Oryctolagus cuniculus: one gene and its partner. The protein of the gene in region 2 purifies or fractionates together with the protein of the main gene of each other region. This does not show direct contact. Links are inferred from orthologs where the notes say so. Each region holds a gene or a part of one and is shown on either strand. Other genes may lie near its edges. The genes, in order: LRRC59 and ASPH.

Region 1 (4,477 bases), on a different chromosome or scaffold from region 2:
GGACAGTGAGAGAGAGAGAGAGAGAGAAAGGTCTTCCTTTGCCGTTGGTTCACCCTCCAATGGCCGCCGCGGCCGGCGCGCTGCGGCCAGTGCACGGTGCTGATCCGAAGGCAGGAGCCAGGTGTTTCCTCCTGGTCTCCCATGGGGTGCAGGGCCCAAGCACTTGGGCCATCCTCCACTGCACTCTCTGGCCATAGCAGAGAGCTGGCCTGGAAGAGGGGCAACTGGGACAGAATCCGGTGCCCCAACCGGGACTAGAACCCGGTGTGCCAGTGCCGCAAGGTGGAGGATTAGCCTGTTGATCTGCGGCGCCAGCCGAAATCTAACTCTTTTAAATAAAATAAATCTTGGGGCAGGTGCTGTGGCACAGTGGGTTAGTGCCCTGGCCTGAAGCACAAGCATCCCATATGGGCGCCAGTTCAAGACCTAGCTGCTCTACTTCCAATCCAGCTCTCTGCTATGGCCTGGGAAAGCAGTACAAGATGGCCCAAGTCCTTGGGCCCCTGCACCCACGTGGGAGACTCGGAAGAAGCTCCTGGCTCCTGATCGCGCAGCTCTGGCCATTGTGGCCAACTGGGGAGTGACCTATTAGATGGAAGACCTCTCTCTCTCTCTCTCTGTGCCTCTCCTTCTCTCTGTGTAACTCTGACTTTCAAATAAATAAATAAATCTTTAAAAAAAAAATCTTAAAAAAAAAAAGATGAGTCCAGTGATTCAGCCAGCCTCCTGTTGCCTTTAGTTCTCTGTGCCCTGACTTTTCCACTGTTCTAAAGAATGAGGCCTCAAGTCTCTTCCAGTGGAAACCAACCTCCCAAATGCACACCCCAACACACACTCAGATTCAGCTGTCGCCTTCCTGCAAGACCTATACTGGAACTATGTCTTATGAATCCCCCCACAACCCCGTATGCAGCAGGAAGGCGATGCACCCAGAACTCGGGCCGGCCGAGTCACTTGCCACACTTACCGGCAGGGTACTGAGTTTATTGCAGGACAGATCCAGGACGGTGGCCTTTGGAAGGGCAGCCTAGGAAAGGAGATGAGAAAAACACGTCAAGTCGGCACCTGCCACGGCTCAGGGACACCTGCAAGTGAAGCATTTTCCCAGGAAAGTTCCCACGACTAGGAAAGGATTTTTTTTTTTAATGGCACCGAAGAACAGTGTTGCTGGGGATAAGAGAGGAAAAACTGAGCCAGTTCTAAGGCAGAACAAAAAGAGGGGTTTGGCCACAGAACAGCAGAGAAAGGAAAACCTGGGTGCTCAGAATTCTCTACGGCACCGAAACTCTCAAGCGCCCCTCTTGTGAGGCTGCGGGCAGGGACCGAGTCTCAGAAAGCGCTGCAATTTTCGTACTTCCCACTTCAGGGCCCTCCCGGGAAGCAGGCGCTCAACCGAGAGTGCACGAGGACACGGGAGCCGGCGTGCAAACGGGGCCCTCACGGCCCATCTCCATGTTCCCACGGTGTCTGGGGTGGAAGAGGCCCCGCGCACCTGACCCTTCTTTCGCCCCAGGAGACCGTGATGCACTGACCAGACAAATCAGTTTCCCATAGCAGTCCCGGGGCCAGTCTGGAACAAGGCTGGCCACTAAGGACCCACGGCCGACCTGCCTTTCCAAGTGTCAGAAGGTGAAACGAGACAGTGTTGGCCGCTACAGTGGGAAGAACCACGGTAACAGTCCATCTGTCAGCGCCTGCCACCTTCCAGGCACTTTTAACTGTCACAACCAGCAAATGAGAGATGATCACCATTTCATAAGTGAGGAGATCTAGGCCCAAGAGTTACCCAGCCGCCAAGGGCACTCAGCCAGCAAGCGATGAAGCTGCCATGTGAGCTGGAACCCCATGCTAAGCCCCACACTACATAGCGCCCTGGTGAGGTGAAGACTGGGCCTTGCTAAAGGCAAGGGTCGTCCATCACTCGCAGTAAGGAAGGTGTAGGAAGCTAGCACTCCCGGTGGGGGCGGCTGGGGCCGAGGCTCCAGACCCACGTAGGCAGCGAAGTAGGTAGTAATCGCCCCAGGACGGCAGGCTTCAATTTGTGGGGTAAGAAAGGAGGAAGAGTGGGGGGAGGGGGGTTTCCCGCCAGTTTCGGCGGAGTTGGGATGAGACCTTGCCAGCCTGGCCGGGGAGACTTCACGTTTCTAGTCGCCCGAGGGCTGGGACAGCCAGCTAGGCTGCCAGGTCCCGAGCCACACCCAGGTCTGCCGGGAGGCCTATTTTCCCACACCGACTCATTCATTCATTTTCCAATACAGCCAGCAACCGCTCGGTGGGCTTCGGCTTGGGGTCGGGCACCGGCTGGGGCTATGAAAGTCCCCACCCCCCCACCCCATCACTCATTCTTGGCTGGTGAAGAGCCCAAGGCCAGAAGAGACGGTCTCCCCCATCTTCTGGAGCCGCGCCAAAGTGACACGTGTACATCCCAGGAAGAACACTGCAGCCGGACGTGGCCGCCCCGGGGGCTCAGCCCCCCGCCCCCCGCCTCCCCATGGCTTTAAAGACGGGGAAACCGAGGCACGGGACAGAAGGCGGCCCGCGCGGGGGCCACTGCCAGGCGAAGGGGGCGCCTGCGCCTAGCGGGGCTGTACTGACCAGCTCCTTCACCGGGACCTCATTCAGGTCGCTGAGGCTCAGGTCCAGCTCATTGCCGTCCAATTTGTCGCGGAGATTCCCGCCCTTGTTACCGGCCTTGGTCATGATGACGCCGGCTGAGCGGGCCCGGGTCCGGGCTTCCGACGGGCAGGGAAAAGGAAAAGCCTCTCGAGGGTCCGGCGGACTCGCAGCCAACCGACAACGCCTGCGCCCCCGATCACCGCCGGTGCGAGACCGCCGCCGCCCGTCCGCCCGCCGGCCACACTCGGAGCCCCGCGCCCCGCTCCCACCGGTACCGCCGCGACGACGACCACTTCCGTGTCCACGTCACCTTCCGCGGCCACCGAGACGCGCCGGGCCAGAGCGGCTCGAGGTTGTACGAGTGCGCCCTCTGGTGTCCAGGGGCGTGTAGTGCCGCCGCCGCCGCCGCCACTGGGATCGGGTGCAAAGCTCTTTGAATTCCGCTTCTCTGCGGGAAGCCCTGGTCCCCTTGGCTCCACGCAGAAGATCTGCGTTCGCATCTAAAACTGACTCCGTCAAATCTGACCCCACCCCTTTGAATAAGGAGCAAAAGCTCCCTGTCCTCTTCTTAACCACGCAAAATCACCGCCTTCCGGAAAACTCTACTTCCTGAATTTCTCTTCCCTCTTGTTCCCCATCTATCTTCACCTTCTGAAAATCTGTTCTCCTTCCTGGGCTGGGTGCTGCCTGCTTCTGCGGCCTCCTCCCAAGCTGCAGCCCCTGCCTGGCCTTGGTGCCCATCAGACTTCCGGGGCAGGTGCCCCACGCACCTTTCCCTCTACCCAGCTTCTCTGCCCAGCTAATCCTCAGTCCTGGCAGCCTCCCCTGACCACCCTGAACACCGGGCTAAGTTCGGAGCCCTCCAGGGGCTCTGGCACAGCGCCGTCTGCACTTTTGGGTTAAGTGGGACCCCCGCCCCCGGCACGCTGGGTGTGCCTCCTGGCTCTGCTGTTGCCCTGCCTTGGTCTTATCAGTGGGTCCCTGAAAAATATGAATTAAAATGTTAGCCAGCTGTTGCGCGTGGGCGGTCGAGTGAGTGAAACACGGGAAGAGATTAAGGCAGGAACCAGGAAGCACTCTAATCATCATCCAGAATTTGCCGTCTGCCTCATGTTACACTTTTCTTGGTGGATCCGAATGTGAGGGCGGGGATTGTGCCTTACTCACCTTTGTATCCCCAGAGTCTGAGCCCCGGCGTGAGATTTGCCCATTCGGATGTCTTTGGGAGGAATGAATGAGGCAGCAAACCTCAGCTTGCTCATCTTGAAACGGGCTATTGTCCCAGAGGGGAGCCTTGAAGACCCAGTGAAGTCGGGCAGTACTCCAGTCCTTGGACCAGGACCCACGGTCCCAGCCTCCGCACTGTGCCGGGCTTCTGGGAGACAGGCAAGGACACGTGGATGATGAGACGTTAGCTTTTGGCAATCCCTATGTCCTTTGGCACCCGTTAATTTGCTTTGATGACAAACAGGAGACTGCGAGGCACATTTTATTGTAATGCTCCTCTTATGGAGGAAGAAACCAAGGCCCAGCGAGGCAGAGTAACTTGTCCTCCACCACACAGCTGGTTGAGCACAAGTCCCTTGATTCCAGGTCCTCTTTCTGCTCACTACGCTTTGTTATTGCTACCCCGAAGGACCCTACAGGCCATGCAAATAATTATTATATACCACGTAGGAGGATCTGTGCCCTCACACAGATAAAAACCTGCATTCGAATGCATAGGGCAGTGTGTGTGAGTGGGGTGTGTGTGTGTGTGTGTGTATTGACATCAGAGTAACAGGCAACAGTATTCTTTTTTTTTTAATTTATTTATTTATTTGAAAGTCAGAATTACACAGAGAGAGAAGGAGAGGTAGAG
Region 2 (4,375 bases):
TTGTCAATATTCATAAAAGCAGGAAGCATAGACAGATATAAAATGCATAATTCTAATACTAGGCTCAGGGGAATTGGGTCCCTGGAACTCAACTGCACAAGTACACGCAGCCAACAGGACCTGCCATTGTAAATATTGTTGATACATTTTGTTTTATTTTATAATTTTTATTTTGTAATGCTGAGTGTATAAATGTCATTACAGCTGTTTGTGGTCTAGGGAGGAACTAGGTGGCCACTTCCTTCTTGTGATCTGTACTTACAAAGCCTCTGTGGTGGCCTGGTGCTGCCTCAGGTGCACAGCAGTGCACCTTGTCAGTTCTGGGTTGAGTTTCTGGAAATGTAGGAGCAATGCAGCATTACTTCATGGCCTCTTGGTGTCAGCGACTGAAGACATTTAATTTCTTTGCAAGGTGGACTTTGATAAGCCACCACTTTGCGTTTCAGGCCTATCTTTGCGGGTAGGACCTATAAGGTTTAAGGGGGCAAGGGTATTTGCTAAGGGAAGAGGGAGCCAGTTGGACATTCTCCACTCAGAAGGAAGCCTCTTCCAGGAAGAAAGATTTGGACTGTAGACTCTCGGCCAGATCAACTGATTTCACATCCGTGACCTCACTTGGATCTCGCAGAACCTCCAGTTTCCTCAGCCAGAAAATGTGGACACATAGCATGGCTTTGTGAGAACTCAAGAGTTAAAATATCTTGGGGTCTGAGAGCACTGTTTTCTTGTTTGTTTCTGTGTTTGCAGGTTAGGTGTCATTGCTATTTCATATTGACCACCATCACTCAGATTTGTCTCATTGCCCAATGCCCTCAACTCTCGTTGAGATAATGTCATAGGGCGTTGCCTGAATGAATGCATGGCTGTGTTGGGGGAAAGAAGGCTATGCCATAAAAACTGAAAGAGACGCTTCAGGTAAACTCAGTCAGCGCCCCTGGGCCTGCCTCCCTCTCTCTCTCTCTCTCTCTCTCTCTCTCTCTCTCTCTCTCTCTCGTCTGTGTGTGTGTCTCTGGAGAAAAGAAAGTAAACGGAGGCCACGCAGCACCAGCTCTGCCCTCTCCAGCTTCTGCCTGAACCCTCCCGACACACTCCCAGAAGGTGCTGCAAAACACTGCCAAGACCTGGGGGAAAGCCTTAGGAAGTTGACAGACTTAACAAATCAACAAACATTTCTTGGGCACAGGGTGCGCAATTGGCGACACAAAGGTGATAGTGACGCTGCCAGTGCCGGTCTGGTTCAGCCAGGAGCTCAGACATTTTTAACGTCCTGTCCCGAATTCTGAAGCCACTGCAGGTCTAAGGCACCCTTCGAGTTCGCAAGAGGGGCCTGAGACTTGGGGACACGGAAGAATGATAACGTAGGCATTGGCCTGGCTGCGTGAGATTTCCGATCCTGGGTGCCGTCCAGGGTAAGAAAGATAACCTCCTGCGTCATATGCACCTTCCCATGTCTTAACTTTCTCTGAAAACACGGATGGCAAATCCCTGCTTTAACCCTGAACGGACCCAAGACCACGGGGTAAGCGCTGGACTAGCCCCGACCCAATTTCTGATGCGCCCTCACGTTAACACTGGTAAGAAACAGGCAGCTCTTCCCCAAGAAGCGGGATGGCATTTCTCGGCATCTGTGGGAAGGGGGCCCGGGACAAATCAGGCCAAGAGGCGGCGCATTCCGCCAGGCATCGGCACACGTGTCCCCCTACCCCGGCGCCCCGGCCCGCCCCCGCGCTCCGCCCCATCCAGATCTAGCCGGGTCCGCCAACGCTCGCGAGAATCCGCTCGGCTGCTACGCTTGCCACGTTCCAAAGGACCGAGACAGCCTGGAAAGCTGAAGGCGGCTCGAGCTCACAGGCTGCGGCGCCGCGCCAGAACAGCTCCAAGTCTGCAGGGGGCGGGCAAGCGCGGCAGGGTCCGGCCCCCTCATAGTGGCGCTTGCGATTGGCTCGTAGCCGTCGTCACTCAACTTCTGTGGGCGGGCCGAGGCCGGGCGGGGGCGTGGCCGAGGGGCGGGGAAGCCGCGCGCGCTCGCCTCCGTAGGGAGTCACAGGTTCGGCGCACGCGAGGGCCTGGCGCGCGCAACCTGCACGCGGGCGAAAGTCCTCGGAGGCGCGGCGGGAGGTGCGGAGGCACTGACGCTGCTGCAGGAGCCCCGGCCCGCGCCGATCCAGCGCCCGCTGCCGTCGGCCGCCCCCCAAGATTCCCCAACACTGAGGAAGACTCCCCCTTCCTCGCCCCCAGTCCTCGCCAGCCCCCGCGGAACGCGCCATGGCCCCGCGCAAGAATGCCAAGGGCGGCGGCGGCGGCTTCACCACCACGAGCAGCAGCAGCAGCAGCGGCTCCAGCAGCAGCGGCGGCGGCGGCGGCACGAGCACTAGCAGCAGCATCGGCAGCTGCAGCACCAGCACTCGGAGAGGTCAGAGGCCCTGCGGGGCGGGGTCCGGCGCTGCGGTCCATCTCCCCGGGTGCCCCGTCCTCCGTGGCGTGTCGTACCTCCTCTTGGCGCGCGGGGCGGAGGCCGCGCTCGCGGGGCCTGGCGAGCTGGAGGGCCAAGGGGGCGGAGCGGGGTCCGCGCCCTCGGGTGGGTCTCCCCGTGCTGCCCACACCTGCAGGGCGCAGCCGAGCTGGCCGTTACGTGTCAACTCTTTCTTGGCTGTCAGTGGAATTGAAGCCGGGAGTAGGCGAACAGTTCATCGTTGCCCTGCATACTCGGGTTGTGGGGACTTTGAAAATGTGCCAAAGTCAGGGAAAGTTGAGTTCCTGCCTAACCAGCATCGTTTAAGAGCAACTCAAAGGAGGACTATTAGGGGGATGGAAGTTGGGGAGCGGGGATTGGGAGTGATTTGAATGTCCTTGGAAATTACCTGAAATGTTTTTGCTTTTTTATAGCTTTTTCACATGAGTTGTAGTTACCTTTAAAATATCAACGGATGCCATGAAATAGCTCATGAGCTTCTATTTTTTCCTAAAATCAACCACATATTCACCTTTCTCTCTCCTTGTGCTTACCGAACAAGAACAGATGTTTTAAATCTGTTTCGTCTCATATTTCAGTGGTTCTGTTTCTTTTATATTCCCTTTGACTCATATTTAGGATACTGAAACTGGAATGCACATGTGTGTTGAATGTGAACAACAAACCTCCCTTGGGATAGTTTAGACTGTTGCTGAGCGCTAAATGCAGGGCATTCATGTATATCTGAAAATAACATAACTCCGGTTATGCTTCACAGAACTATTTCCCATATAGCACTTATTTTCATGTGTATTGCTATGGCCTCAATCCCAACTCTTCCTCATTTCTTATCCCCAACTCTTGGTATGATCCTGTCCCATAAGAAGTGCTCAAATATTTGATTAGCAAGCGAATGAATAGTTGGGGTGAAAGTACTGCAGTTAAAGCCATTGCACACATTTAAGTTCAAGAACTCATGTTTGCATTCCAAATGGGAAGACACACACAGTTTGGGGTTCAAAACCAGCCTCATAATTCACCTTTGATTTAAGTAATCTTTTGTGTTCCTTTTCCTTTTGTCTTTAAATGTCAGTTAAACACAGCCCCTCTGGGTCTGGAGCTTCACTTTTTAATATTTCTAAGTGAGAAGAACCCTGTGTGCTGCCTGAGCACCAAGCAGAGGAAGTTGTTAAACAAGACATTAAAGTTTTATGTAGTTATTTTCAGGTGAAGCGTATCTTTGTTCTGTCTATCCTGTGAGCTCCCTAGAAGTGATTAGATCTGAGGAAATTATATGGCCTTTTATTGATAAGTTAGTATTGAGAAATGTGTGTTACATTTCCACATCTACCGAATTAATTCTTGAACCATTTTAACAAGGAGTGAATGAGTTTAGGAAACATTAGGACCAAAATTAACTTATTCTGACTTTTCGTCTTCAGGCATTATGAGCAAACTCTGTCCACATTGAGGATCTATAGCCTGTTAAGCATTTGGCACATTGATTCCATAATTATCCTGAAACAGACTTAGCATGCATCAGACACAATATGTAACACAGAGAAAGGTCCTTGTTACAAACAAAGCAAAACAACAGAAACAACACAGAACAAAATAAAAAACAAAACCCCGGAGTTGGTGTTGGAGTCCTGCGTGTTACATAATGAGTATTCTTTTTTCACAGCTATTTGTTTTCCCAGCAAATGAGTTCTGACTGTGTGTGAGGCGGGGAAGGCACTGGGGATGCAAATCAGGAATCTTTCCATCATCCTACACGGATGAAAATGAGTATGTGGAACAAGCAGTAAAACCAACATTTCTTCTATGACTATGATTGTCTGGTCACTGAGGTATAGACAGTTTCTGCTGGGGAAATCATAAAAGCCAAGGAATTTTTCAAATGCAGTGAGGCCCATGGAATTC

What was found.
Region 1: the proteins of ASPH (region 2) and LRRC59 purify together in Homo sapiens (co-immunoprecipitation; 3 studies listed by BioGRID and IntAct, with this or other methods). This does not show direct contact. The link is inferred for Oryctolagus cuniculus from reciprocal best matches to the Homo sapiens genes ASPH and LRRC59.

The regions. Positions count from the first base shown.
Region 1 is NC_091448.1:26,316,999-26,321,475, forward strand, and holds the start of LRRC59 (leucine-rich repeat-containing protein 59), read right to left. Parts: upstream 2,961-4,477; 5' UTR 2,701-2,960; coding exon 2,596-2,700; intron 1,028-2,595; coding exon 968-1,027; intron 1-967.
Region 2 is NC_091437.1:87,148,558-87,152,932, reverse strand, and holds the start of ASPH (aspartyl/asparaginyl beta-hydroxylase), read left to right. Parts: upstream 1-1,459; 5' UTR 1,460-1,474; coding exon 1,475-2,413; intron 2,414-4,375.